5 linked regions of the Canis lupus familiaris genome follow. The main gene of each other region encodes a partner of the protein of the gene in region 3 in a complex. Links are inferred from orthologs where the notes say so. Each region holds a gene or a part of one and is shown on either strand. Other genes may lie near its edges.

Region 1 (6,675 bases), on a different chromosome or scaffold from region 3:
GAGCAATGCGGGCTGGAATGCTGAGAGGCTCTGGAGCTTGTTCCAATCGATTGTAATTTTCACCACATCATCTCTGAGGTTAAGCTTCAAAGGGGCAAACCAGCAACATCACAAAAATTACACGATTAAGCTGTATATATAGGATGTCACAAAAATAGTATTTCTTTAGGGTAACATGACTATCTAGCTCAAAGTTATCAGATTTTTAACAATACATTAAAATGCTTGTTATGCACCTCGTTACCATTTTAAAAGGCCATGAAAGGTGCAATTTTCATAGAAAAAACACAATGGTATCTCATTCTAATTCTATTCTTGGGTCTGTGTAATGGGACCATCTTACAGGTGAAACACCATCCACAAAAGATGGAAACATGAGGCTTTTTTGATACTTCATTATCTAAAACCTTTGGATGAGGGCCAAAATAGGCTTGCCCTATTCAGTACTTCCAGCTCAGAGCATTAAACAGAAGGGGCAGACACATTTATGAAAGTTCTCATACAAATATTTCTTTTTGTTAAATATGTACACAGACATAACTGACATATATCATTACCCTGATGTTTTCTGAATCATATTTTTATCATTTTCATCTTTAACCAATTTTAAAATAATCTAAAAATCAAGATTATTCATACAGATTATAAAGCCTAGGGATAAATGGCAACATGTTTATCTACTTCAAATAAAAAACTATTATCTAGCTGTGGAAATCTGAATGTAAAAAAGAAATACTCCTCCACAATAGTGAAATAAATGGTCAGAGACTGAATGGAATGGCTAGATCTTTTGCTAACTAGTATTTTCTAATACTGTGTGAGGGGGCTTGTCATATAAAACTTATAAGTTGGCTATGTATGACCTATTAGAATAAAATTATAAACAGAAAACTATCAAGAACCTGAATATAAAATTATCATCAAAATCAATGAAAATTTTAGAGTGAAAGCCTCAATCTCTAGGCTTTCAAGTGAATACAAATGAACCTCATAAACTTTTCTAGAGACATGTGTTTATAGCATACTATAAAGCTATGATGCATGGTAGAATTAAGTTTATTTTTTTTTCAGAAATCATTTATTAAGTCATGTTTTCCACAAAATAAAGGCAAGTATTACATTAGTTCAAATACTGATGTTATGAGTTGTGATTCTAATAAAACAAAAAGATGAATCACTGTACAAAGAACCAGAAATCCAAAGTTACCCAAAAAAGGCAGTATACTTAATGAATACTGTATGACAAAAATTTACCACCTTTTCCATGAGACAAGAAACATTTAAAGTCTGTATCAGACAACTATAAAGAAATAAGAAATTTTGGATAGGCTACACTGGCAGAGATTAGATTATATTAACTAAAGTTTTACATTAAGATTACTGCATTAATCTTAGTTTATATTATTTAATTACTGTACTTCTACAGTCCTCTAAGAGATCTACAGTTCCTAACAAATTTATAAATAGAGTTTTGGGATAACACAGACAAATCCTCAACTAAAGTAAAGCATCAAATTTCCTAAAGAAAATAAACAAATAAAATAAATCTTAATGTTGGGATCATATTCTCCTTTCAATTCAGCATAATTATGTAAGCCTTTCAAGCACAATTAAAGACACTTGGTTTTTTTAAAGAAAACTACATAATGATACAAATTAACTTTAAAATTATCATAATATATCCAACTATTTATTCAACAAATTCCCTATTAGTAATACGAATTCGATGCATTTTTACCCTTTATAACTTGTAAACGTAAAGCATTCACTCAAAAATGTATTGGTGTGACATTAATATGGACTATTTAAGTAAGCATTTTCCATAAAAAATTAGTATGAAACTCCAAGCTAACAATAAATAATGCTTCAACTTGGTAGAATGAGCCATGCTGTGGCAAGCAATAAGGTTAAAATAAGTAAATTTGAAATCTGGGATACTTTTTAACATTCAATTTTATGTTTCCTATTGAGGAGAGCCAACAATATAATGATACTATGCAGAATGAAACTAGGCATATTGAAACTTACTTTTTTTTTTTTTGAAACTTACATTAAAAAAAATATCCTATAAACTTGTTGCAAAAGTACATAGTGATTTCCTCCAGGGGCAATTTTATAATATTGTGGCTTTCATTCTTCCCTTTAAACAATACATCTCAAAATATAAAGACTAATATCAAAATAGTATTTAATTGATGAGACAATGATTTAATTTTTTGACACCTGTATAGATGGTCCCTTCAATGTGTCATGTAAACTTTCCAAATATGTACTCTCAACATTTTTGACAGGTGACATAAGTAAACTTTAATCACAAAATACGCGAATGTTTAAAATCTGTAAATGAGTTTTAAAAATTCAGTATGCAAAAATATTTCAAAAGAAATGTTTAAATTATTTCTTAATGTTACTTTAAAAAATTTATCACCACTGAAAATAAAACTGTAAATTACAGGTAAGCATAAACTTTTTTCATCGTGACATTAAAATATAAATAAACCTTAAAATTCCAATATCCAAGACAGAAAACGTTCTCAGACTTTTAACCATTACAGGTCTTGGGTGATAAGACTAAAATGTTAATGTCCCCAAGTCTTTAAAAAATTTTAATAAGTTGGCGGCAAACAACTGAGCTCAACAGTTACAACTTTTAGCAGATTCTGTTAATAATTGTTCCGTTAGACCAAATTAAATGTTTAACTTAGAGTAATGCTTTTTCTAAGGACAAACATATTAGGATTTTTAAAAATACTGAAATAACCTTTTAAAAAATTAATTCTCCATCCACTCACGGCTTTTAAAAATAACTTTTTACAAACTAGACAGGTGTTGTTTTCATAAACATTATCCTCGACATAAATGTTTGCTGTGCCTACTACATGCACTAATACCAACCCCATAACAAACTTTTAGAGTAAAAAAATATTCCGTCTAAGATACAAAAGATTTCCTTTTTAAAAGCAAACAAACTTATTTTCAAGTTGTTTATCATTTGTAATATGCTTTGCATTTTATTTCATGAAACAGTTGACTTGATTGAATAGTGTAAGGAGTACTTTTATTTAAACCCAATTTATTATGACATTTCTGCAGAAGCTATTCATCAGTCAGTTAAATTAGCTAATAATTAAATGACAAACAGTTCTGATGCAAACTCTATCAATCATGGATAACTCATCGAATTTTATGCAAGAAGTATTTACATTAATTCCTTTCATTTTTCCTCCCCATATGAAAGGGTAAGAGATGCACATGTAACAACCAGAAGGAAAAAAAAAAAAAGAAAGAAAACCAAGTGACTCCTAAAAGCAAATCAACCCCCCCCCCCCCCCAAAAAAAAAGCGGAGAGAGCTTTGCCAAAACTCTCAGGCCGTTACTTCTATCAATTTCTATCACAAATTCACTGAAGGATAGGGGATGCTGAGCGCCAGGCACCCTCCAAACCCACAAAGCTTTTTACGCCTTCGCTCTCTCCAAGCATGTTCTTCTGGGAGCCAGGTTTTTCACTTACACTATCCTCTCACTCTTGGGGAGAATTGCCAGCCCGTACGGCCTTCCTCGCTCCGACCGCAGCTAGGCTCAGGCTCCTCCGCCGGCCTCAGTACTCAGTCCCGGTCCCCGGCAGCCCTAAGCAGCCCCCCGCCTCCGCTAGAGGAAAAAAGGGGGGAGGGGCCGGAGAGTTCCCAACCCCCTGCTCTGCTCCCACAGACCACCACTCACTTGTCCCACCAGGCTATGCAGTGAGCGAAAGATTTCGCGGAGCACCTCTTGGGAGAGATTGGGGCTGCAGCTCCGTTCCGGACTCCTGTCACCACTGCTCGAGAGGCTAAGCTCAACGGCAGCAGCCATGACACCTTCGCAGGCTACCCCCGCCACCACCGAGCTGTGCTCACAACACCCGCCCCCCTCGCCCGCCCGCTTGCGTCGCCGGTAAATGACGTAAAAACACAGCGTCTCGTCCGGCCCGGGCCTTCGAGGACCCTCGTGACTGACAAGCCGGTGCGCCAATCAGGTGCAGCTGGAGCGTCACGCCAAGGAGCCGGAGCGGGTAATTGCCGACCTGGCGGAGCTGCGTACGGAATTTGGGACGGTGATTGGGGCGGTGGTCTAGGGAACGTTAGCGTCTGAAGCCTGTCTTGTGTTTTTAGGTGTTGCTTATGAGTGTTGAAGAGGAGACTTAGACCTAAACGTCAGAATTTTAGAAGTTAAAATTTTAGCTTTTAACATGGCGCTGTGGAGTGGTCTGGACAAAGATTGCTGTTCGGGGGTGCAGCAGGGCCCACACCTCTACACCCTGGAAAACTCTTTCACGTACGCTTGTATTTAGAACATTTTCACTTCTGCAAAGTTTAAAAACTTACACAAATTAACGTGACTAATTTTTCATGTGAGGGAGCAGAGGCTATAAAAGAACAATAAAATGCTCTACTGTTCCTGCTGTACTATCAATGGAAGAAAGGACATTAATTACTTTAAATCTGCAAAATAATTATGTCAAGTTTTAAAACGTGCATCAGTTGCTATTCTCTGAGTGATACTGTAGAGACACTCACCTAAACCTTTCAAAGAAGTGAGACACTCAAAACGATTCTAACAGTTTAATTCAAATAAGTAATTGCATGCAGCACAATCTTTGAAATTAGAAAAAATAAATGCGAATTGAAATTTGACAGCGTATTACTCATCAGATAGATTTATTAAAAGATATTTGAAGTACTTTTATAGTCCAACATTTAAAAGCTTTATGTTCAATTGAAGAAAAGAACAAAGGTTAGAAGAATTTTAAATGTTAAGCTCTATTAAAAAACAAAACCCGTCAGTTCAGAGATTAGGGACAAGGTATTTAAAATTCTTAATTCTAATAGTCTAATGCATTTACAGTAGAGGAAGCAAAGGTAGAAACTTGCACAATATGTATTCTTCAGTTTTAGAGTAGGCTGAATGAAAAGGAGCAGAATAGGCATCAGAGAACTGGAATGGGGTCAGTAGGGATAAAAGAACGCCTTTGACCTGTCCCTAGGGAGCCTCTTAATTAGGCTTTCATTTCCAAAGATCACCAGGCTTGACAGGATCTTGAGAAATCTTGTCTGTTCCCTTGTTCACAGCAAGATATACAATTTATAATCCAGCCTATGTCTAGAAACATCCAGAAAAAGATTTCACAATATATAATCCCAAATTGAGCAGCCTTCTCATTCAAGGCACTCATCTCCATCTCTAATTTAAACTCATGATTCTTTGCAATGCTGTATATTTTCTTTGCCTCTGGTTCTCTTTTTAGAAGAGAATAATTATAACAGGGTAACTAGAAAAAAAATTTTATGTAACGAATTAGCAACCAGTTTCAGATCATTTGTTTTCATCTAGATGTGAAGGTTTTTTTTTTTTTTTTTTTTTTTTTTTTTTTTTTTTTTTACCAATATTCAGGACACTGTTAGGAAACGGTTGGGGACATGTTTTGTATATTATAAGAATACCCCATAGATGTTTGGGGTGCCTGAGTGGCACAGTCAGTTAAGTATCTGCCTTTGGCTCAAGTCATGATCCCAGGGATTGAGCCCCACATTTGGCTCTCTGCTTAGCAGGGGGCCTGCTTCCGCCCCCCCCCCCACCCCACCGCTTCTGCTGTGCACTCACTTGTGCACTCGCTTCCCCTCTCTCTGTCAAATAAGTGCATAAAATCTTTTTAAAAATACCATTTTTAATACAGTAGTTCTTGTTCCTGTCTGTGCCATCACTGATTTAGAAATTTCAAGTTTTACCTGTTCCCTTGAACCTCTATTATAGAATTGATGGTCATTTGATTTTATATAAGTTCTCTATGTAATTCTGTGTTTCAATATCCAGACCTACACTTACATCTTGGAATTGCTTACTGAGATAACATTTGGGGTTTAACTCTTTTATGCATTATTTCTACTTTCTAAGGACCTTTCTTACTCCTTTATGATGTTTATTACCTTCATTTTGGAAAATTTCTTATTTTTGTCAATTTATTTTAAGTAGAAGAGTTTGTAGGCTGAAAAGATGTGGATTTCCTTGGGCTAACTTTATTTTTTTTAAGATTTTATTTTTTATTCATGAGAGACAGAGAGAAAGAGAGAGGCAGAGAAACAGGCAGGGGGAGAAGCAGGCTCCATGCCGGGAGCCCAACGTGGGACTCCATCCTGGGTCTCCGGGATCATGCCCTGAGCCCAAGACACACACTCAACCACCGAGCCACCCAGGCATCCTCCTTGGGCTAACTTTAAATAGAAATATGTAGATAGTAATGTATAACAAAAATATGAAAGTTATGACATGTAGAAAAGGAATAAAGGAAATAATTTTCCCTTTATAGGAGACTAATTATAGTTTATAAAGTGGGTTTCTGAAAAATCTGCTGCCTAGCAGAAATGATTCAAAGTGTTAGTCTTAGCATTACCAGCAGAATTAGAAATACTGCCCTGCAAGTTTATGATAAGAATCAATTGAGAGGATAGAAAGTATAAATGAAATCTGGGCTATCTATCTTATCAACAAAAATGTCCTTTATAAAGAGCCTTAAAGGCACAAATCCACTAAATAATCCAGTGCACAGCAAAATGCCTGCAGTATTATATGTGCTCAACAGATGTTTGTTCAATGCATATAGTATAAATTTTAACTAATGTAGCAAAGGAGAAATAAATATTA
Region 2 (5,879 bases), on a different chromosome or scaffold from region 3:
TGTTTTAGTTACAAGAGGTGTTGAGAATAAAGGCCCACTCACATTTAATAATAGCTTATCTAGCACATAACTGCTGCACAACACCAACAACAGAAGTGTTTTAAAGTGGGGTGGAGAAGAAAGTAGATGTTAATACAACTTAGGGTTCCCTTTGTCCTTCCTCTTTTTACAACAAGAATTCAGCTCAGAAATGAAATTCTCCAGAATGCCCATGCTGTTGTTTGGCCCAGCACATTCCAAACTTGTGATTTCTGATCCCAAGCCCTCAGAGCCTTAGGCTTTAGTGATGTATCCTTCTCGGATGAGGAAATCATAGATTTTCCGGGTTTTGTTCACATCTATCTTGATGAGTGCTCTCGCCTGTGCCAGTCTTAAGCCTCCTTGCTTGTTACATTCGTTCAACAGAGCAGATTTGTATTCTAAATAGGCTCCTGGGACCAACCTCACCATCTGACAGAGCTGCAAGACACGGCAAATTTAATAAACATTAACATCTGTCATTCTCATAATTTAATCCAGTAGGTATAGCCAAAATAAAATTTAAAAAGTGACATCAACCTCCAACTATTTATAGGAGCTGCTGGGTGGCTGGACCACATTCCATTTAGTCTCTTCCTTGGAGAGAATATTCCCTGACAACAGACACTTAGGAAGAGAAAACCAGAGTCTGATGCTGGGAGGGACTTTAGCACGTGTCAGCTGGCTCACCTGGGTTTGTCAAGGAGCACAAGTATGTGTCCTGAGCAGCAGCCTGGGTCCACAGAGCTCTCAGCCCAGCACATTCCAACATAGCCAGTCACGGAAGAGCCACAGGGCATAGTAGGGGCGGGGGTGCAGATACTCAGATTCCCAAGTGTGAATCACATTTTTTAGTATCAGCATAAAGTAGCTGTCACTGCTTTTGTGATTACATTTCCTACTTTGAAGGAGAAGGAGATACAGAGACCTCATGAAGAGGCTACTTCAGCTGCTAAAAATCTACAAAGCTGGCTCAATCCCAGTCCACCTGCCATGGCACCCCACAGCAATAAGCAGCGTGAGGTCACTGTTTGTGGGTAAGGATAAATACTGCTTGAAACTCTGGGCCACTTAATACTTGACTCAGAAAGGCCCGTGACCTTCATCAGCAATAGTAGTTCCCCAACTGTTTCCTGGGGGAATAGTAAATAAAAGACTAAAACAGCCCCTACTCCATGACTCCCCTTACTATCTGACCTACTAATGATATGGAGTGGCAGATGGGAAGATTGATCTTGGGAATCGTAAAAGGAGCACATGAAGAACAGAAGAGGGTTGCTCTTTTGGAATGGACTTCAGAGCTATGCACATTTTTTTTTTTTTTTAATGCTTGAGGATGACCCTTTTGAGGCAGCCAAAAGTAGTATGAAGATAAGTCTGATGATTTTAGTGGAAAAGAAAAGTAGGTCATGGCATTTTTAATCAACATTAGTATATGACTATATGTGATGATAAAGTCCTTTCTTCATGACTTACATGTATGCTATGGAGACAATTCTAAAAATCTTTTAAGTCATGGTTATATTGTTGGAATAATGTAGAGCTTATCAAAGTGACCATTCTAACAGGAAATGACCATTTTCATATATGAGATACTGTAGGTTTATAAATTTACAATTTCATTCACATGAAGCACTTAGTACTAAGTATCTGGTACATGGTAATGCTCAATAAATGATAGCTGCCATTATTTAGATTTATATATACTAATCATTCTAATCTCTCTCCTCTAGATCCCCGCCCCCCCCCCCCTTTTTTTTTTTACCTCCTTTTCTTTTTCATTCAGCTTCTCTGTGCCAGGAAGGCCAGTGAGGTTCAAGGGTGGTGCACTTCGTCTACCTACAGACACAGAAAAAGGTACGTATTTCATAGGAGTGACAATTGTGAAGTAACAGTCTACTGCAGCCAGGCTAGTTACATGGTCACCACGCCCAGCTGTAAGAAATCTCTACCCATCACCCCAGGCCTCAGTCCAGTTGGCAACATGGGGACCCCAATGTTCACCTGAAATTACTAGTGGTAATTCATGTGCCCTTTGCTCTGCTAAAATACACAATCACATATACCTTAGCAACCCAGTTGCTACTCTTTCCGACCCAGTAAGATTCTAAATTCTAAAGCCCAGATGTCACCTAGTGAAGAAAGGTCATATGCTACCAATCCTGACAGCTGATGAATGGAAATAACAAGTCCACAGGAGAGACACTTCCCAGCCCTCACCACTCTGCCAGGAGCAGGAGGCAAACACCGTAATTAACCACATACCATTTGCCTTCAGATCAAAGGCAGACTGTTAGGCCAGCAAAAGGCCCTTCTTATTTATTATGTGAGGGAATATCTGTTCCTTCCAAAGTAGCCTGTTTACCTGAAAGATCCACTCAGAGGAACAATGAGCCATTATATGGCAAACCAGAAGCTGAGGTGTACTCACATACTGAGAAAGAAACCTAAGCATGAGGTCACTGCCCAGGATGGGAAGTTTGATGCACAAAATTTTTTGCTTTGGTTTTGAATGTATATTTGGAGTTAGTGTTTAGTTGGGAGATAGGTGGGCTGAGTTAGGCAAAAGAAGATGTAGAATCATTTTTAACAAGTTTCATGGGGGTTGCCTTTCAGGGGGTGGAGAGAAATAGGGAGGGACTGTTACAGGCTGCTCTGCTAGAAAACAGCTTCTCTGTGGAATCAATAAAGGGATAAGGGCTTTTCCATAGCCAATAGGCCTGGCCTTCCTCTAAATGCTCAAAAAGGGAGACTAAAATCATTTGGTATCTCACCAAAGTTACCAGAGGCTAGGTTGTAACAAATGATCCAGGATTGCTACTTTGCACTGCCTGAGGAGTAGCTGAGAACAGGAGGAGAAGGAAGGGGTCTCCTCAACCTAAATACAGGGGATGAGAAAGGCTAACACCTGCTGAGGAAGCCACAAAGAATAAATGAGTAGAGATGGTTCAGAAAACACAAGTACCATTATTAGTTATCACTGTTACTATATTTGTTATTCTATTTCTGTATTTAGACTCGGGGTGCAGAGTTAGAAGTAAGTAACTCGTAAAATAAAGTTTGGATTTAGCTGTCCTGACCACTCTCTAAAAGACTTTTTCTCTTTTAAGTATTAAGAAATAACCACCTGAAACAAAGGAATCATTTTTAAAAAAAGAAGTAGCCTTCTCTGAGCCCTGTCTAGATGCTGAATCTGAGAGATTTTGAATGGGATCACAAAGTTTATTGTTTCAAGTTTCCAAAGAATGGTAAAACTGCAAGTGGGTCACCTTTTTCACTAGGCCAGTCTCTACAGGGGAGTGGTCTGTATGTTCTGATATGGGAAAGTGGCTAATCTAGCATATGGAGCAGGGATGAATAATAACTGGCAAAGAAACACAACAATTTTGGATCAGAGCTCTATAACTCACACCACCTCAAATTACCATTCATCGATTATCAAGCATCAAGGATTGCCAGATAACATATGACTTCAGCTGGCTCTGAAAACTAACTTCAAAATAAGGGCATACCCAAACAGGTAATAATAACAGAAATACCTCAAGTCTCTAACTTATAAAGAAATCCTTGTCTTTCTGCTTAGGATACAAAGGCTTTAATTTATCCTGTGAGACAAATCTCAAAATCTGTGGTAAATACAACCACAATAAACTGCTCATTGGTAAAAAAGAAAACACCTCTCTGGAGCTCTTTCTTCCCTGTCTCTGAACTCAAACCCTGATGATAATCCCTATCTGGCCATGATGATTCTGAAAACTTGCTGAGGTTTACATACTGGGATACACTTACTTACTTACCTGCTCTGCCTAAGCACTCTGCTCCCACAAGGGGAAGGAACTACTGAAAATGTGATAATCAAGACTTGCTCTAGCCTGAAAAATAATTACCTGAATTCGAAGCCATCGGAACAGAAGGGCTCAGGCCAGAATCACTAAAACAAAGAAGAGGAATTTAAAACTTATGTCACACCAAAGAAGGCCATTTCCAAAAGCCCATGTGGGACTGGGTGTCATTTATCCAGTTGGTTACTTTAAAGGGATGCAGAGATAGATGGCACTGTTTTATAGGATACCCCGCTATACTAACCAGGAAGTGTCATCTGTAATATGGCGTGTAAGAAATCACTTGGATTTGTTAAGAGCTCTTAATCTGGAACATCCATGGAGACTAAGGACAGGGACATGATTTGCCAATTGAAATAGTTCTAATAGATAATGGCGGGGAGAGAGGAAACATGGGGGAGGAGTTTACTAATTTTTTTTTTAAAGATTTTCTTTATTTATTTGAAAGAGAGAGAGAGCACAAGCAGCAAAGAAGAGCAGGGGGAGAGGAGAAGCAAACTCCCTGTTAAGCAGGGAGCCCAACCCAGGGCTCAATCCCAGGACCCAGAGATCATGATCTGAGCCAAAGGCAGATGGTCAACTTGAGGCACCCTGCAATTTACTAATTTTTTTTAAAATTTTTATTTATTTATGATAGTCACACACACACACAGAGAGAGAGAGAGAGAGAGAGGCAGAGACATAGGCAGAGGGAGAAGCAGGCTCCATGCACCAGGAGCCCGACATGGGATTCGATCCCGGGTCTCCAGGATTGCGCCCTGGGCCAAAGGCAGGCGCCAAACCGCTGCGCCACCCAGGGATCCCTCAATTTACTAATTTTTAAAAAGAGGATCAAAGTTAGCAAAGAAGGCCAGCTATGTTTCTCAAAACTGTCAGTACCACAGTGTTTCTGAGATAAGACTACTAAAATTAGAATTTGGAGTTTTTCTAGTTATCCAATCATTACTACTCTGCCATGTGGGTAGGGTACCCATGGAAATGTCTGAAACTACATGGAAAAGCCAAAGCATCTAAGAAGATGCTCATCCTCCCTGTACTAATTACTCACAGGTCAGCTTGCCGGCGGAGCCACTGCTGGCAAGCACTGCTGTCCTGGATGTACTGGAGAACTTCAGAGAGCATGGTGCGTTTAAGGCGCTCCTCCTCTCGAGTCTTCTTGAGGTGGTCATAGGTTCTGGCACCTGAGTGTAGATAACAGCATGACTGCCAATGACAACACAGCAGAGCTAACTGAAGGGCTTTCTAACTGACCAGCAATTCGCCTTTTTGGGGTTTCCTTTGTAAAACTGCTTCCCTGGCACCTGGGTGGCACAGTCAGGTAATCTTGGTTTTGGCTCAAGTTAAGATCACAGGGTCACAGGATTGAGCCCCATGTGGGACTCTGCACTCGATGGGGAGTCTGCTTGAGATTCTCTCTCTCTCCCTCGATTGCTCTCACTCTCTCTAAAATAAATCCTTAAAAAGATAAAACACAATGGAATTGGGATGCCTGGGTGGCTCATAGCCGTTGAGCACCTGCCTTCCGCCCAGGGATTGAGTCTCACATCGGGCTCCTTACATGAAGCCTGCTTCTCTCTCTGCCTATCTCTCTTTCTCTGTGGGTTTCTCATGAATAAATAAATAAAATCTTAAAAAAAAAAAAAAAAAAAAACCACACACAATGGAATTGACAATTCTTCTTCTCTTTCAACCACTGGGTACAGCTGTGCAATGTGGCTACAGATACTTGCACTAACTCTCCAGGTCACTCATGTGGGTATAGGTGATTTTCTGGTTTTTTAAAAGATTTTATTTATTTATTCATGAGAGACAGAGAGGCAGAGACATAGGCAGAGGAAGGAGCAGGCTCCCTGCAGGGAGCCTGATGTAGGACTCGATCCCAGGATTCCAGGGTCACGACCTGAGCCAAAGGCAGAACCACCGAACCACCCAGGCGCCCAAAAAGATTTTTTTTTTTTTTTAATTTTTTTTTTTTTTTTTAATTTTTATTTATTTATGATAGTCACAGAGAGAGAGAGA
Region 3 (5,879 bases):
TAGAACTCTTTCAGCTATTTGGAACAGAAATAGAGCAAGTACAAGTTTTAACAAGTTTAAGAACTAGTCAGATATTTGAATCCCTCAGTAAAAGGTCCCTCAGAAGCCAAGTGTATCTAGCACTTAACAAGAAAGAATGCAACTCAGTGACTGTCTGTTCTGTTCAGCTGCTATAAAAGTGACTCTTGCAAAATTCTGGAAATGTTAATCTCACCCTACAAGAAAAGGATAATGAAGAATTACAGAAACAGCTAAGCCTCCTTTCTTATGACACAAGGGTTAAAGATGACATGGAAGATGGGAATGTGCTTGTCTAGCCTTAATTAGGCTCTATAAATGTGAAAGTAGTCTTAAACTCTTTAAGCTAGTCAACTGGAATGTAAATTTCCAATCTTTATTAGGGTGTAAAGGGTATAATACTATTCTTTAGTAAGCCAGCATAAGACTTATTAAAGTGAAGTTGTAAAAGTTAAAAAAGAGTACATTATCTATGATTGCATTTACATAAAATAAAAGGCAAAACTAATCTATGGTTTCAGAAAACAGAATAGTTATTACTTGGGGGGAGGAAGAAGATAGTGTTAGTTCATACTGCTGTGTCTTGGTTTAAGGGCCAGTGATAGGAGTATGTTTAATTCGTCAAAACCCTCACTTATATATTTTTCTATATGTATGGTATATGTTTTAAATGTTGGTAACGTTTCAACATTTATCAATGTGATAGTCTACTGAAAAACATAGATATATATCCAAGGAAATGGGGAAAATATTTACTAAACAATAACTTTATTTAAGAATCCTAAAGATTTGTTTCTCTCCCCACAAGATTTAAAAAATCTCAACAGACAGTATAGTGACTTTTAAAAGCTAAAAAATAAGCTAAAAGTAAAACCCTGCTTAATTAGCTTTGTTATGCCTATGTCCTAAGACTGTAAATTACAAAAGTACAAGTAAAACCACATTTTTTGAAATAACAATAAACAAAGGAGAAAGTCAGGTACTACATACCAGATGATCAAAATGTGTTTTGGGCCAAAGATTCTTGAAACTAGTAAAAATCTTAATAGAAATCTCCTGCTGCTAATCTGTGTAGATTATTAAATGTAAATACAATTTATAAAACACATCAGAATTTTATTGCTTGAAGAATACAGCATATGAAATCACAAGAATGTCAAAATGAAAAGTCACTAGGCTTCAAACATATAATACATTATCAGATGCAGTAAAATATTAATTAACCTGAACTCTGCATCAGGAAAAAAAAACAGTGTGGAAAAATATCTAAGTTGTTTACTTAAGAAACAGATAAAATAGAAAGTATAAGGATGTTACAGTACAAATTAGAAAAGCCAACACTTATTATTTCTTAGACTAGACTACCTTTGGTACTTAAACTTTAAAAAAACAACCCCTTCTACCTTGTCCAAAGCACTTCATGGATATAGTATCAACTTCAACTTAAAATATCCAGCAAAATTAACCTTTTTCATGGCATGGGGAAAGTGTATTTAATAAACGTATGCTAATATTTTACTTTTTCTAAAACTGCAAAATAAGATTAAGAAGTCTAATACTTATAAACTTTACTTTTTTAGTTCTTCAATTAAAATTGGAATCCTGGCAGCCACAATTTATTCTTGGGCTTGGTGAATATACAAATTTAAATGGTTTGGCAACTGACATAGGAATTTAGACTACTTTATACTATCTTTAGTGGCTTTTCCATTCTGTTTCCAAAATACAAACAATATGTCATTTCTTCAACACATTGGATTCCTGTAAAAATCACTACCATACTTTATTTATTAGAACCAAAGTAAAGCTTCTCCCTTTTAATGAGTAGATTGAAACTATTTACGTTTCATATACGGCTGATCAGTTACGACACACTTTCTTAAAATAAAACCAATCATTTTTAAAGCTATCACTCAATTATGATGGAGACAATGATGCCATTTCAAAAGGAAGCACTGGACACTCTAGGCCATCTAGTCAAGAAAATGTAAAAGTAATGCTAAAAACAAACAATAAGTAAACTATAACTACAAGTTAAATTACAAAAAAATCCCTCTTTTACAGTAAGCATGCTTATTAACTTTCATTTCTTTCCCCCAGCAAAGGTCTGAATATTCATGAATCTCCTTTAAACCAATGGAACCTAAGCAATTGTTTCACAAGGTCCAATAAACATGGATGGACTGAGCAAGTAATACTATTAACAATTATTGGAGTGAAATAGTAAGAATCATGACAGTCCTCAAAATTGGGTAGTCTTTGAAATGTAATAGTGTAGCTCAAGATGAATTATGCCATAATAAAACTGTAGTTTTCACTTCTACATAAAACAAAAACAAAATCAAAAACATAACCCACTGAATTTATACAACTATTGAACATACTCCTTGCTAGTTTTTGAATGTTTTGAGATTTTTTTAAACAAGTATATTTATCTGAGCATATATATTTATTGCCTATATATATATATATATATATACCCATTTTAAAAGACAAAAAATTCAGATACTACAAAACTGAACTCTTTGTTTTTTCACCAACCTGATCTAACATCTACTGCATCACACAACACCCTCCCCCCAATAATTTAAAATTCCCAATTTTTAGTTTAGTTAAAAGGGCAGAGGAAATGCAAATGCAGATTTAGAGTTTCTGTATAAATTTTACTGTATTTTATAAACTTGACGTTTTCTGTAACACTGTTTATTGATCAAATAAAGGACTCACTGCTATCTAAAATTTCATAAACACCATTAAAAATTCAAAATTGATATTATACTGAACCTTAAATTTTCAATAGTTCAAAGAGACAGTTTTTACATGAATAGCACACAATAGATGAAACTTAACAGCAGACATCCCTAGAATACCAATGGCAAGTCCACCAAGATGCATACAAAATTACAGATAAGCATTTCTTTCACTGTTTTCTTGTGCAGGGAAAAACATTTATAGAGGAAATAGAAACTCAGCTGGTAAATTTCAGATATCATCATCATCTTCTTCATCTTGAGAAGATCCTGCCTGGTTAGATGCACTGGCTGTGGCAGCAGCAAGCTGTGCTTGTTGAGCAGCTTGCTGCATTTGAAGCCATTCCTGCTGGGCCAATTCTGCTTGCTGCTGTCTAGCCTAAACACCAAAAACATAAAAACAAAGTTTTTTTTTTTAAATTCACAACATACTCACTTTGGTTAAATATAGATTAAGCCAATTACATACTTAGTTATCAAATTTGGATATTTTCCAACCACTATATAACTGTTACACATCTGGAGAATATGAACTCTTTAAGAAAATATAGTTAGACCATTGCCTCTCTGTCAGCTGAGGACAGTTTCCAAAACTTGGTTCTCTTACAGGCAGTACCCTTTATGCCACATAATTTTATGACCTTTGGTTCAACTGAAGTTGAAAGAGCTGGCAGAAAGATTTTTGGTTCCTTTCCTGCTTCTCATTCCTTTTGTTTTGATTCTTTTGTCCTCTCAACTTAAAATTAACACGTAAACATTTTTCAATCTAAAAATTATTTCTGTGGTTTAAAAGTTGTCTAGTACAGTACCTCTAACTCTTAAGTACTAATAAATATGAATGCAATAGCTACCTTGATGTGTGAGTTTCTTTTTTTAAGATTTTACTTATTTATTTGTTTGTTTAAGAGAGAAAGCACACACACACTCAAGCAGGGGGGAAAAGCAGAGGGAGAGGGACAAGCAAATTCTGCCCCAGCACGGAGCCCAGTGCAGGGCTCTAACCCACAATCCTGAAATCATGACCTGAGCCAAAATCAAGAGCTGAATGCTTAACTGACTGAGCCACCCAGGTGCTCCGATAGTTTGAGTTTCTCTTACAGTTCCCTACCCTAAATACACATTTCTCCTCTGAACCCCTGCCCCATAAATACATACACGTGTGTACACACATATATACCCTTCCCATATACATACTAGAGAAAAGGCACTTATCCAGAACTGAATTTAAGTGAGATAGTTAAGATCCATTCCTCTGATATATCCTCTCCACAACCATCAGAGAATTTTAGAAACTGGGGCACCTAGCTGGGTCAGTCAGTAGAGCATGCAATTCTTGATCTCAGGGTCAAGAGTTCAAGCCTCACACTGGGCATAGAGCCTACTTTAAATAAACAAATAAATAAGGCTTTATATTTTAAAGCTTTATTCTTAATAAAATAAGGAATTTTAGAAACTAAGATACACATATAGGCATTACACACACTGTTGCAACAGCTAAAAGCTCTTTCCCAATTTAATTTTATCTATTAGCTTTAGAAAAATCACACCAACAGGGAACGAATGAATCTGTTCCTGAATAGATCATATTGGATTCTACCAAAACAATGCTGTTTCTCCTTCTCTGCCTTTTCTCAGAATTGTTACTTAAGCCTGGCTCGTACCCGCCAATTCCGAGTTACCATTTAAAACAGAAATTAGTCTTTCTTGATCCTTCTAGGTCATATTGTACACTCTATTTCATATGCCATAATTCTCTATGCATTCTCATATCTACCTACTTTATTCTTTAATTATCTGAGCATGTATCTTTTTTCTCCACTAGCCTTGAGAATAAAGACTATTTTCATACTCTTTGTTGCATTCCCAACACATAGGCTCTGGTATTTTCTGAATGAATGTTTTGTGGGAAATGGTAGTACTCAGCATAATTCTAACATTAAGATTTTGCCCTGTATATTCCTGATTTTTCTTAATAATCTGTCTTGAATTTATTATCCAAACATTTCTAGAGGAGAATTCTAATCAGACCATCATTATACTTTAAAAAAATCATCTGTTACCAATTAAGTCCAATTTCTCAGCTTAGAGTTCAAGGTCCTCCAAATTACTGCCTGCCCAAATCTATCTCCCAAATCAATTTTTGTAATATGTACCTGGTACTCCAAAAAAATCTAGAACATAAAATGTTGCCCATATACACCATACCCTCCCCATTTTCACTACCTTATGCTGATATTCATTCTATTTGAAATTTCCTATTTTTCACCTATCGAAATTCCACTCTTCCTTCAAATTAAACTGAAATACTGGGGGGAGGAGCAAGATGGCGGAAGAGTAGGGTCTCCAAATCACCTGTCTCCACCAAACTACCTAGAAAACCTTCAAATTATCCTGAAAATCTATGAATTCGGCCTGAGATTTAAAGAGAGACCAGCTGGAATGCTACAGTGAGAAGAATTCGCGCTTCTATCAAGGTAGGAAGACGGGGAAAAAGAAATAAAGGAACAAAGGCCTCCAAGGGGGAGGGGCCCCGCGAGGAGCCGGGCTGAGGCCGGGGCGAGTGTCCCCAGGACAGGAGAGCCCCGTCCCGGAGGAGCAGGAGCTGCACCGACCTTCCCGGGGGAAAGGGGCTCGCGGGGAGTTGGAGCAGGACCCAGGAGGGCGGGGATGCCCTCGGGCTCCCGGGGACAGTAACAGCAACTGCGCGCCCAGGAGAGTGCGCCGAGCTCCCTAAGGGCTGCAGCGCGCACGGCGGGACCCGGCGGGACCCGGAGCAGCTCGGAGGGGCTCGGGCGGCGGCTCCGCGGAGGGGGCTGCGCGGCCCCGGGAGCAGCTCGGAGGGGCTCGGGCAGAGGAAGAGGCTCCGTGCGGAGGGGCCTGCGCGGTTCCAGGAGCAGCTCGGAGGGGCTCGGGCGGCGGCTCCGCGGAGGGGGCTGCGCGGCCCGGGAGCGCGAATCCACCAGCGCAGGCTCCGAAGCACAGGGCGCCGGGACACAGCCCAGGATCCCGCCTCCCCCGGGACAGGCAGAGGCCGGGAGGGCCCAGGACAGCAAGGACGCTCCTGCCCCAGCTGAGCAGATCAGCGGCCCCGCCCCGGAGCCTCCAGGCCCT
Region 4 (5,879 bases), on a different chromosome or scaffold from region 3:
GTGACCCAAGGAGTTGCCAAAGCAATTGTGAGTGGAGGTGGAGGAACCATTGTTGCTCAGCCAGTGCAAGCCTTAACCAAGGCTCAGGTCACTGCTGCTGGCCCTCAGAAGAGTGGATCCCAGGGTTCAGGTAACTGATACTGATTGGGTCCCTTTCAGCAGCAGGCCTTTATATATAAACTGTTCTTTGCTAGTAGTTTTATTTGGTATTTGGTTCTAAGAAAACCTATTAGGTTGATGCATAACGAGTATATAAAAACATGTTAATTTTTTTCAGGTAGCATTTTACATAGAAGTCTGTAAAGCGGTTTACTTTAAGGGAGCATGTGTGTGTTTTAGCAAGAGTAATAAAAATAGAGCGTATTTCTTGATAGTGGTTTCAGGTCTGAAAGATAATTTTCATTTGATCTTATCTCCACTTTGGATTGTATTCAGACTTAAAATCTTGGGATGGTCATTTGTCAGCAGCATTTTGAGATACTGAACTAATGCTTTCTCTACCAAACAAGTTTAAACACCTTGGATGTGTTTGAAGCCTTGATATGTTGTTTTTATGAGAGCATGAAAAAATATACCTAAGACATTAGATGCACTAAGTTTTGAAGGTCTCGATGAGGCTAAAGAATTATTGCAGTGAATTAGAAGGATGAGGGTAGCGGATGTCTGAATCATATTGTACACCTGCTACTCACACTGTGTTAATTATACTTGAGTTAAAAAATTAAAAAAGAAAACATAAAATCTAAATAATAAATTGAAAGAATAACCAGAATCAACTTTATATAAAACATTAAAAAGATTTAGAAGAAGGGATCCCTGGGTGGTGCAGCGGTTTGGCGCCTGCCTTTGGCCCAGGGCGCGGTCCTGGAGACCCGGGATCGAATCCCATGTCGGGCTCCCGGTGCATGGAGCCTGCTTCTCCCTCTGCCTGGGTCTCTGCCTGCCCCCCCCCCCCCCCCCGACTATCATAAATAAATAAAAAAATTAATAAAAAAAAAGATTTAGAAGAAAAAGGGAAAAGAAGGAAGTGGATGTCCAAAATAAAGATTTCAGAGGTGGTGAGTTGTTGGTGATGGCAGAGTCCATTTGTGCCATTAAAAATGAGTGTTTGCAATGTTGGAGGAAGTGATCTTTGGAGTTTAGAAAATGAGGTGCCTGAGAAGCTAGATAATTAAGTCACTGATAGTGCTATCACTGAGGATGACAATCATTGGCTTTAGAGCAAGACTGAGTCAGGAGTCAGTCTTCAGCAAGTGAGGGGAAGTGATTGGGAGTTCAGTAAATGAGCACAGAAAAGAGGGTTAAGGTGGTAGAGCCAAGCAGGAGCCAGTAGGTTTTTCTTCTGGAATGAGGGGTAATAACGGTCTGAAAGCCAAATGGTAGAGCACAAAGACTCCTCTCCTTGTCCTGGCCATCAGACACTAAGTAAGATTCAAAAAATAGCTTTTAGCTAAGGGTGCTACTGGGGAAGTCCTGTATCTTCAGAGGACTCAGTGTTTAATACCACAAAAAGAAAGACTTCAGAGAGGTCAGGGTTCTAGTGGGTGTCATTATCACAGCAGGAATTCCTGGGGGTAAGATGAGAGAGCCAGGGGAGGAGGATGGGCTGAGGAGATGGGTTCAGATGAGGAATGCAGGGCAGTGTGAGGCTGGACTCTGGGTGCGGGTGACTGAGCAGAGAGGCTTGCTGAGCTGCACAGTGATATAAGGTGGGGTGAGTTCTAGCAGCAGTGGAGAGGGCTGGTACTCCAGTCTTCATATCAGCCCCTGCTGTTGGGGGGTAGCTTCCTGGGGTCTTGCTTCCCTGGGCTTGCTCAGTGGAGTAGTAATGAAGAAGAAGACTAGCTCAGGCTAGAGGAGGCTCTGAGAGCCCTGTGCCTGTGGTGACTCACTCGGTTCTATGGGCTTCATTATAGGGAGATTTGAATTCAGGGTAATTGCAGAAATTTTGATGTGTAAGTCTTCACTGAAGAGTCACATTTAGAGGTTTATAGCCTTGTGCATTGAGAAGTAAATCCTAGGGGATAAGTGAAAGCTCTTTGACATAGGTGAGACTTTCAAAAGGTAAATTCTGGTTTCATACTATATGTGCTAGTTGTTGACTGGCTTTTTTGTTGTTGTCATTTCTTTTTTTTTTTTAGTTCTTAAAAAGTGAAAGAGGTTAGAAGTCTTGTTTCAAATCTGTAGTTTCATTCATTACTAGAAATTGATAAAAAGGGCTTTAAACGGGTTTTGGAAAGAAATATATATTCATCCAAAAATAAGGTTATTATTTCTTTGATTGTCTAAACCATAGGACTTTTGAGAGTAAAAAGAGTCACGGTTAATAATGATTGGGACATAAGTATAAAAATCAGACCCAGGTATAAACTGGAACTGTTCTGGGCAAATTGGGACATATGGTCATCCTATTTATGTACAAATATAAATTCCCCTTTGTAATTTATGGCAAGCTCTTCTAATATGTAAATTAGTTTTTGATTAGCAAGATATTAGCCTTTGAAGTATTACATATCTAGGAAAACAAACTGTAGAGTTTACTGTTTGTGTTTTTTAATAAGAATTTATTGCTCTGTTTTTAATTTTTAGTGATAGCATTGTCCTCAGTTCTACTTTTTCCCTTTACTTTTTTTTTCTTTTTTTCCTGTACCATTTTAGTAATGGCAACATTGCAGCTACCAGCCACTAATTTGGCCAACTTGGCAAATTTGCCGCCTGGCACTAAACTCTACCTTACAACGAACAGCAAGAACCCTTCAGGAAAAGGGAAACTGCTGCTGATTCCTCAAGGAGCCATCCTGCGAGCTACCAACAATGCTAGTCAGTCCGTCATTAAATCATTTGGTTCTTGGGTCTCTGGGTATGTTCATCTCATCCACCCGAGGGGCAGCTCTTACCTGTTTCAGGAAGTGTTTCTGTAGCTCTTTGTGGTGGTATGATGGTAGTATTTGCCCACCTGGATTTAAAACATACACATAACTATAAGTGGGTTTAAATAATCATAGTTCTAGGCGATGACACTGCTATTTTGGGTTTATCTACTCAGAGTTTGGGGTCAGGAACAAATCACACTGGAGAGAGATGACTATTAAGACAGTGTGGGGAGAAAACTGTTCGTGTGAACTATAAACAAAAAAAGTTCTTCTTTTCAGTGGTATCTAGAAACCGGTGATACCTGGGGAGATAGTAGCTGGAGGCCTATGTGCATTTTGGAGGGCATAGGAGTAGGAGTGGAATCAAATGTTCTCTGCCTGCTGTTATTTAAGTTTGTCAGTTTTGGAGATGGAACGAGAAATATAGAGTCAACCTTAGTGTTAAGCCTTAAAACCCCAAAGAAATTAGGTTAGACTTAATCTAGAAATTATCTAGACTTAGAAACTTTGGCTTTGACATAGAGAAAAGCAATTTGGATAGTGCTGGAAAGGAAAGGGTAAAAGGAATTATTTCCCTCTGAATCATAAGTATAATTGATAGAACAGTTAGGTTCACTAGAAATGAGCTGCCCTTGCCAAAATCTAGTGTATGAGCTAGTCACCATTTTGTTTCCTGACTGTTTGCTCATCCTGGCATTTTTTCCCTCATACCTAAGTATTGATATATAAAAGATATGTAAGAAAAGGACAATGTAAGGATTCCATTATTTACCCAGAGAGCCACCTCAGTCTTAGTTTATATACATTATGTCACCAAAAGAGAAGTAAAGGGGATCCAAAGGCTTTAAGATGGAATATAAAAAGGGGGGGGGGGAATGGGGCACTGAAGTCATTATAAATATGAGGAAAAATGTTTTTTTTCCAGGGCAGAGGGAGACAGAAAAGAGAGTTCTGTAAAACTACACTTAATTTTATCAGTTTCACTGAAATCGAATGAGATGCCAGAATGTTTAGAAGCCCTTCTCTGAGCATATTTTAGTCAACACTTGGTTAGAAAATGTCAGTATCAGACTGTTGATCTCCCACAACGAAGTCAGAACTCTTGTTAAAGTGAAGTTCTTCTTGTACTGAAAGCTGAACTCATCATTTGTCCTTCAGTTGAAAGTAAAAATCAGTTTCAGTCCTTAATTCTAGAACAGTCTCCTCACTGTTGTCACAGAATAGGTATGTTACCAAAAAAGGGGACTAGGAAAGGGAAGGGATGGAAACGTCATCTGTCACTCTGGGTGCATTTTTTTTCCTGGTAAGTCTCTTACTATTTTTTATGATGTTGCTGTCATCTCGTTGTGTTTCCAGATCTCCAGTCTGGCTCAGCTTCAGGTAGTGGTGGTGGCGTCAGCGGAGGCAGCAGCGGCAGTGGAGGTAGCAGTGCGGGTGGCAGTGGTGGAGGAGCCCAGAGCCCCGCGGGCCCTGGAGGGATATCCCAGCACCTGACTTACACATCTTACATCCTGAAGCAGACTCCTCAGGTCTGATCATTCGTGACTGGTATCTTTCAAATCCTTTAGTTATTAACAACTTCCTTTAATTATACTGGATTTGTTTTTACATCTCTGGGATTGGGAGTCAATACTAACACTATAGCCACATGGAATCTTTATTATTTTGAGCTTGTTTTGAGAGGAGATAGAAGTTCAGAAAGACTTAAGTACGAGATCTCTCTGCTAAGCCAATGCTAGAATTTGGATTTAAACTCATAGCTTTCTGACTCAATTTTTGCTACACTGTTGCCTCCCAAATCCATGAGTTAATGAATAGTATTAAGAGACAGTTGAAAATTTTCTCTTGCAAGGGAGTAACCAGAGGAATACTATCAAGTTTTGGTATTTGGAGTTGAATTGGATTCATGATTAAGAATAAGTTTCTGCCTTCTTTCCCCTAGTTGCTTTTAAATCTTGACTCCTCTCTTAAGGAAGGTCGTGGAATTCTGGTCTAGATGTTCTTAATGAGAAGGATGGGTAGTTACCAGTCTGAATAATTCAGATTTAAAGACTAGGTTGTAGAACTTGACTGTCCAGCAGCCTGCTCCATAACTACTGTGCAGAGTTTCAGAAGTGGGGCTAGCTAGCTGTTGGTAGTGGAACTGAGGGCAGAGCTGTTCTTTTTAGTTATTTTGGCTGAGTTGCAGAATTGAAGGTGAGCATCGTAGCTTGTAACATGGGACCTTGTGATTTATAGGGTCAGGGCAAGTCATTTTCACTTAACAAATTACTGAGTAGATCTTTGTTTCTAACTTAGGGTACATTTTTAGTTGGTCAGCCATCACCGCAGACATCTGGAAAACAGCTGACTACTGGATCAGTGGTCCAGGGAACCCTGGGAGTCAGCACATCTTCTGCACAAGGACAACAGACGTTAAAAGTCATCTCTGGACAGAAAACCACTTTGTTTACCCAGGTAAATAGGCAAACACACACACATACCCCAAATATAGGATATTATGGCATTTATTTAAACATTTACAGCTTCTTTCTTTCCACAAAGAAATTAAAGATGCGAGATTAAAGATGAGAAAATAAACAATTAAATAGTATAAAAAAATAAGAATAAAATCTTGAGATTTGAGAAAACTATGAGTTAGAAATGAGAAGATAAAGCCAGAGTTATTAGATACGCAGTTATGTCTTTTATAATTACTAATACTTGCCAAAGCAAATCAAAAGCATGATCAGTTACAAAATTCACACTATTTGTGAGATGCAAAAGAAATACACACATAATACTTTCTTAAAAAAACAAAATTTTCTTGCTACTTCATTCTAAAACTTCACTGGAGAAACTTCATATAAGAGATTCTGAATAGTATAATAGATAATTATAGCTACAATATCCATATACAGTTGGCCCTTGAACAATGTGGGGTTTAGAGGTGCCAACCTCTCAGGCAGTGGGAAATTCCCATGTAACTCTACTTCCCCCACTAGTAATAGCCTACTGTTGACCAGG
Region 5 (6,337 bases), on a different chromosome or scaffold from region 3:
TTTATTTCCTTCATGGCAAAAAAAAGTGCTATGGGTAATTAACGTGTTTGTCTGCTTATTGTCTAAAATAAATGCTTAGAAGGCCAGCTACCTAGCTGCTTCGCTCAGCACAGCAGTTTCCAGGCCTAAGCAGCACTGGGTTTGTTGTAGGCACTATTTGTTAAAGTGAATAAACATAAATACTGAGAAAGTAACATATAATTCGTTCATTTTTAGAACTTACTGTTGACATTGGTACCCTGTTATAGACATAGTAATTTAAGAAAAAAAAAAAAATTAAGGCAATCTGGGGATCACAAAAAAAGCTATCGTTCAGGCTATAGTTGGGTTGGATTAGGGTGCCGGTACTAGAGATGGTTAAAAGGTGGACAAAGGTATACCTCAAACAAAAAATATTCAAGGATATCAGAAAGGGAGACAGAACATGAGAGACTCCTAACTCTGGGAAACGAACTAGGGGTGGCGAAAGGGGAGGTGGGCAGGGGGTGGGGATGACTGGGTGACGGGCACTGAGGGGGGCACTTGATGGGATGAGCACTGGGTGTTATTCCATATGTAGGCAAATTGAACACCAATAAAAAATAAATTAAAAAAAATATATATATATATATTCAAGGGCAGCCTGGGTGGCTCAGCGGTTTAGTGCTGCCTTCAGCCCAGAGCATGATCCTGGAGACCCAAGATTCAGTCCCACGTCGGGCTCCCTGCATGAAGCCTGCTTCTCCCTCTGCCTGTGTCTCTGCCTCTCTCTCTGTCTCTCATGAATAAGTAAAATCTTAAAAAAAAAAAAAAAAAAAAAACAACACGCATGTCTGAGTTTAAATACAGAAAATCTGGATTTATGTCAGTTTCTGCAATTGAGCCATATTATACCTCCCAAAACTATTTCTAATGTGGCAATTTTATATTTTTTAAACGGTTTTATTGTTCTAAACATGGCTGCCAGAAACATATGGACCTCCTTTTCAATTCCAATATGAAATTCTGTGTCTGAGGTTTTCAAGAATCTCAAACCTAATTCACTAAGTTAGCATTGAGTATTTTTACAAAGAAGTCCTTTCTCCATGTATTTGAAGTGTCTAACTTCATTACACTGTCATTGTGAAATAAACAGCTCAACGACCCCAAAACAGCTCAAGAGCCTAGAAGTAAGCTCCTCATTCTCTGAATATTCATTCCACTAAATTCTTTGGGGGATCGAATTCATAAATTTGAGGGGAAAAGCTTTCTACTCACTTGCTGCCACGTGAGCTTCAGCCTTTCATACTGCTCCTTGCCATCTTCCGAGCAATCAGAACAAGTGAACCTAAAAAAATTATCACCCTTAAGGTAACTGAGCTGTTCCCTCAGCTGACCTAGGAGAAAAACAAAAAGGCACATCATAGGTTTATCTACAGCAGTATTTATCAGTTTATCAACCAGATTTTCCACACTTTCCACGTTTTTCTTCTTTTTCAGCCAACCCATGATAGCAGGATAAGAACAGGGAAGGCAGAAGAAAAGATTTTTATTTTTCTAACATAGTGTATGCCTGTTGAGATCGTGGTTCCCTAATTTTAAGGAGAAAGATACTGGAAAAGCAAGTTTTTATTGCTGTCATTGGATTTTCCAACTGTTAACATTCCTGACTCCCATGGATGTCTTTATACATTCTTTCAAGCAGTATCTGAGTTCCCACTGCATGGCAGGCACTGGTGCAGGAACTGGAATACGAAAGCCTGCTCTTGGCATTTTATAAATTCTAAGGGCCACAGATGAGAAAATAGGTCCTCAGAATAGCACAATGGTTCTCCATCCTCACTGTGCATCAGAATCACCCAGGGAGTGTTTTTTTGTTTTGTTTTGTTTTTAAGTGCCTGGGCCTATCCCACACAGAATGAATCAATCTCTGAAAGAGGAGTCTGAGTCTCTGAATTTTTTGTTCCCCAGGTGATGCTGATGCTCTGGGAGACAGGGTAACCTCTGGAACAGAATGTGGTGTGGGCTTAGGGAAACGAGAGGGCACACAGAAGGGAGACCCAAACCATGCTGGGAAGATGGTAGAGCTAGAAAAAGTGGGGTCTACAGGAAACCTGAAGGATGACTAGAATTGGCCAGGTGAAGAGGGGTGCCTGTGTGTATGGCAGGGAGGCCACAGGGGCTGGAGAGACACATATTCCAGAGAAGAAATTAAGAGATGCTAAGATCTTAGGATAAGAAAAGAGTTGTTTGTGGAGAATTAAAAGCTTACTCTAATACAAAGGTCTGGTTGTGTGGGGAAAGGACACCACACAGAGAAGCTGAAGAAGTTAGCAGGGAGACAACTGTGAAGGACAGTTTAAAATACATCCTTAGAGGACAAGGGGAATGTCACTGAGATCTTCAGGCAGGTGCATGAATCAATAATCAGAAACTGCTCAGAAACAAACACTAGCTAATGCATAGCAAGTTCTAGAAGGTTTCCTATGACAATGTTAATTTATTATTAGTAACTTAATCTGAATAGTTAAATTCATGTTAGACACATTTCCACGTACCAGAAAATTACCCCCTTCACATCAACATGTGTATACATGTGTGTATGTATATGTGTATGTATATGTACATACATATACATACATACACAGAAATTTCTCTGACCAGTTACAAACTCTATTACACAAAGAATTCTTCTGGTACATATGTCTTTACTAGTCTCTGCCTAATGGGAAAATCCTGTTTTGGTAAGACTCGTGATGGCTGGCAAAGCATGCTCCTTGAGAGCCAAGAAGCTGACAGATGCAAAGATTAAGCTGAAAGAGTGTGGTATCAGGGGAATGTGTGTGCATGTATCTCTTGCCAGCAGATCGAGGAGGCCGGCAAGTGGAAAACAAGAATGGTCCCAGAAAAAGAGCACAAAATACTTTTAATCAGCTAACTCTGATTTCAGCATTTAACAATAGTTTTCCATGGGAGTTAAATATTACCAGAGTAACTTGAACTTTAATTCTATACTGGGCCTATTATTTGGTCCCAAATCCATAACATGATCTTGTTAGAACAATGTGGCTAATTCTTTAAATAACGCAGAATTTCCAATTTTCTGATTTTTATTGGATTGCCATCAAAAATGTTAATTTAACATGAGGTTGATAGTAATTTTTATTAATACAAATGTTATCTACGTTTTATATAAATCTGTCATTAGCCAACTAAACTGATGATAAATATAATAATTATCTTTTTATTTAGGTCCATTTTACATTCATGTTTTGTTCACAGGTTAAAAAAACAAACCTTCACATAGTAATTGACAAATCAAAGGAATTAAGAAGCTCCTTACTGGCCGGTATCCATTTTTGGCACTTGTCACAGAAGTAGGACAGCTGCTCCTCCATCCACGACACATCTCCTTCATCACTGTTGAGGGAATCCCCACTCTGATCATGAGACAAGTCCACTGAAGCCTGGTCCTCCGATTCCACGATCAGGAGAGTCTCCCCCTCCACCTCCCCCTCCTCCAGCCCTTCTGAGGTAGATGTTCTGGTGGCTTCATCATCATGCCGGCTTATCAAACTACTCAGGTGGATGTTACTATCCATCCCTTCCTCTCACAGGTTCCAAGGTGCTTTTCACTAATAATCCTAAACTCTAGACACCAAGCTTACAAAGAGGCTTCTATCAGGATCACACAAACTGACAGAAATTCTTCAGAAGAGTGTCTGCCTGATTTACTGACTTTTAAAGCAATAATTTAGAATATATGATCCACTGTCCTTTTCTTTGGCCAAGCTTGAAAGGACTGTGACCAAAGCAAACTTGGAAGACCTCACTAAGCTATTCTCCATCCACAGTGGCACAACCACACTCAACACTGTCCCATTAATATGTGACATTCATTTCAAGTCATGTTTTTTGAGATCCTTTTGCCAATAACATCTTCTCTCTTTCTGCTTCAAGTTGCTCAGTCAAAATAATCTGTTCTCCCAAAAGACGAATGTTTTCTTTTTTCCGATTTTGTCTCTCAATGTCTCTGATCACTCCATCGTGAAGCCTCTAAAAACGTAAGAAACAGATTTTAGTAACACCCTAAACAGGTGGTTCCCATCCTTGTGCCATTCAATCGGAATAACAGTGCTACCAAAAACCACTAAAACTTTCAGACTCCAAATGCCCAATTACTATTTCAACTTTCTGTATAAATATAAAATGTAATAAACCATCAGATTAATTTGGTAGTGTGTTCCACCAGTAGAAATGATTTCTTACATTTTAAGAAATTCCTGAACTGGACATTCAGTATAGAATTTAATGGGAAATAACATTAATTTAAAAAGAAAAAAACTGCTCCTGTGTTGAACTTTAAAAGTTTAATTGGTATTCTAGGTTTTAAAAGACTTGGTGAGATTTACTATAGTAACTGTATGAACTACTTTCCTGTCATCAATTATTGTAGCTGAATAATAAAACATCAAAGAAAGAAAAAGAAAAGATTACAGAAACTTAAATAGGATACAAGAAAGGAAAGATCTTGGCTTCTTCTAGTGTGTAAAGAGAAGTAGTAAAAAATTATACAGAATTACTATCCAATTATATAACCGAGAGAGATGGAAAAAAATACAATGCTACTGGCAGAGGAAAAAATAAAGACCCATCAGTGATACTTTGATAAGCACTAAAGACTGGCAAAAAAATTCCAGAACATGGACCTAGCGCCTAAGGTGAGACTTTTCAAAGCAAAAATCCAGTCATTACTAATAACTACCATTTTATAGTCTTTTAGGTCACAAACTGATGTCTTTAACAGTGGCCTTGTGAGGTAGAATTAATGAGAGTGGGGTCCAGGGCCTGGGTTTTCGTTTTTTTGTTTTAAATTATTAGGTCTATTTAAAAAACTCACAGAATACCTACTTGCCAGACCTCCTTCAGACCTAGAGGTTCATTCATTATTACGGAGGAGTTGGGGAATTTAAGCGTGCTGGAACAGACAACACAACCAAAAATCAACTTTCTGGAACACCGCTCCTTGGCTAGATGTGCAAAGACATTTGCCTCCTCCCTCTCCAGTTCTTGGGTCCTGTGTTCCTTATACCATGACACACCCACCCACACACCCCACCCTGCCCCCCAAAGCGCAGGCCATCCGCTGGAATCATTCTTTCCATACCTGCCTCTGAGATCCTACCCTTCCTTTCTCAGACTCCAGCATATAGCTTAGGAACCTGCTTTCCTGCCACCATTTGCTATCTTCCTCCAAGTTTTAATATACGCTGATTGCCTGTGACTTCCCCTTAACGGCCTTACTAACCACCAAGAAGACCTCTTCACCATTACTCATGTACTACTCGTTTCACAGGGTTCCCGTAAGGATCAATGTCGGTGCCTGGTACGTAGTAGGCAGTCAAAAAAAATGAGAGAAAACTATGGTCATTATTTTATTTCTTGTTTCCTTGAACCTTCCAACACACCCACCATGTCAATCATCTGTTTTACTCCTTCCCAGGCAGGCTAGAGAGAAAGTCCACAGTGAATGAATGACCAGACGTAAAATAAACACAGGTTGTTCTGGTCAATCGTTTCTTCATCTGACTTCCAAATATCTTAATCTTTCTGTTCTTCCACTCTCTAGCATAGTGATACTCAACTCTGGCTGCATGTCAGAATTCTCTAGGTAGCTTTTAAAACATACCTAAGCCTCCCCCCCATTCCATCTCCAAGAGATTCTGATTTAAAAGATCTGGAGAAGGTTATGTTGTAAAAACTTCCCAGGAACATGAGATGCACAGCTAGTTCAGAACCAAGTTCTCACCCACGCTACCCACACTCTTTGAAAATTCCTGCCTTCTCTGACCTCAGCGCTACATTGGACACACCATTCTCTGCTCCATCTCAAATTTCTTTTGATAACCCTCATTTCCTTTCACTTCTTAGAAGAGGACTCTCCTGCCTCTACTCCAAAAGCTACCCCCCTAGAAGTCATACTTTATTCCCAAATCTCTAACCTCTTTCATGCTGTCGTCATTCACCTCAATATCCCCTCCCCAAAGTTCTTACACCATCACACCTTTCTCGGATTTCCAGACTTCGGAGGAGGACAAAGACCTCTTCTGCTTCATCTCTGTATACTAAGCACACTGACCAGCTCGATGCAAGAAAAGACCGTTTACTAGTGATTCACCCCGTTCATTACTTTCACCCCGGGCAAACTCGGCTCAACCCTAACAGACGCGCTGGCCTAGGTGCCTGTGCCCAGCCAGCGTTCAGCTCTGCTGTGAATCACTTACAGACTCAGGAAGGCCGGTCCTTATCTTTGTTTCCCCACGTGCCTAGTGTGGTGCCCGACACACAGAGATCGGTCATTACACATCTGCCAGCCAGA

The links.
Region 1: DR1 (region 3) and MBIP share a complex: the UniProt entries of both Homo sapiens proteins name them as parts of the ADA2A-containing complex. The link is inferred for Canis lupus familiaris from reciprocal best matches to the Homo sapiens genes DR1 and MBIP.
Region 2: DR1 (region 3) and TADA2A share a complex: the UniProt entries of both Homo sapiens proteins name them as parts of the ADA2A-containing complex. The link is inferred for Canis lupus familiaris from reciprocal best matches to the Homo sapiens genes DR1 and TADA2A.
Region 4: DR1 (region 3) and YEATS2 share a complex: the UniProt entries of both Homo sapiens proteins name them as parts of the ADA2A-containing complex. The link is inferred for Canis lupus familiaris from reciprocal best matches to the Homo sapiens genes DR1 and YEATS2.
Region 5: DR1 (region 3) and KAT14 share a complex: the UniProt entries of both Homo sapiens proteins name them as parts of the ADA2A-containing complex. The link is inferred for Canis lupus familiaris from reciprocal best matches to the Homo sapiens genes DR1 and KAT14.

What each region holds. Positions count from the first base shown.
Region 1 is NC_049229.1:15,069,175-15,075,849, forward strand, and holds the start of MBIP (MAP3K12-binding inhibitory protein 1), read right to left. Parts: upstream 3,913-6,675; 5' UTR 3,850-3,912; coding exon 3,721-3,849; intron 85-3,720; coding exon 1-84. UniProt on the Homo sapiens protein: Inhibits the MAP3K12 activity to induce the activation of the JNK/SAPK pathway. Component of the ATAC complex, a complex with histone acetyltransferase activity on histones H3 and H4.
Region 2 is NC_049230.1:37,201,383-37,207,261, reverse strand, and holds part of TADA2A (transcriptional adapter 2-alpha), read right to left. Parts: intron 5,042-5,879; coding exon 4,909-5,041; intron 3,950-4,908; coding exon 3,906-3,949; intron 1,858-3,905; coding exon 1,784-1,857; intron 460-1,783; coding exon 274-459; 3' UTR 1-273. UniProt on the Homo sapiens protein: Component of the ATAC complex, a complex with histone acetyltransferase activity on histones H3 and H4. Required for the function of some acidic activation domains, which activate transcription from a distant site. Binds double-stranded DNA.
Region 3 is NC_049227.1:56,183,368-56,189,246, forward strand, and holds part of DR1 (protein Dr1), read right to left. Parts: intron 3,148-5,879; coding exon 3,001-3,147; 3' UTR 2,992-3,000; exon of another isoform or gene 770-2,991; intron 318-769; exon of another isoform or gene 1-317. UniProt on the Homo sapiens protein: The association of the DR1/DRAP1 heterodimer with TBP results in a functional repression of both activated and basal transcription of class II genes.
Region 4 is NC_049255.1:16,912,204-16,918,082, forward strand, and holds part of YEATS2 (YEATS domain-containing protein 2), read left to right. Parts: coding exon 1-130; intron 131-2,658; coding exon 2,659-2,820; intron 2,821-4,229; coding exon 4,230-4,402; intron 4,403-5,171; coding exon 5,172-5,330; intron 5,331-5,879. UniProt on the Homo sapiens protein: Chromatin reader component of the ATAC complex, a complex with histone acetyltransferase activity on histones H3 and H4. YEATS2 specifically recognizes and binds histone H3 crotonylated at 'Lys-27' (H3K27cr).
Region 5 is NC_049245.1:5,355,584-5,361,920, forward strand, and holds the start of KAT14 (cysteine-rich protein 2-binding protein), read right to left. Parts: upstream 3,582-6,337; 5' UTR 3,561-3,581; coding exon 3,302-3,560; intron 1,356-3,301; coding exon 1,237-1,355; intron 1-1,236. Other genes in the region: protein PET117 homolog, mitochondrial, read right to left, coding at 3,865-4,014. UniProt on the Homo sapiens protein: Component of the ATAC complex, a complex with histone acetyltransferase activity on histones H3 and H4. May function as a scaffold for the ATAC complex to promote ATAC complex stability. Has also weak histone acetyltransferase activity toward histone H4.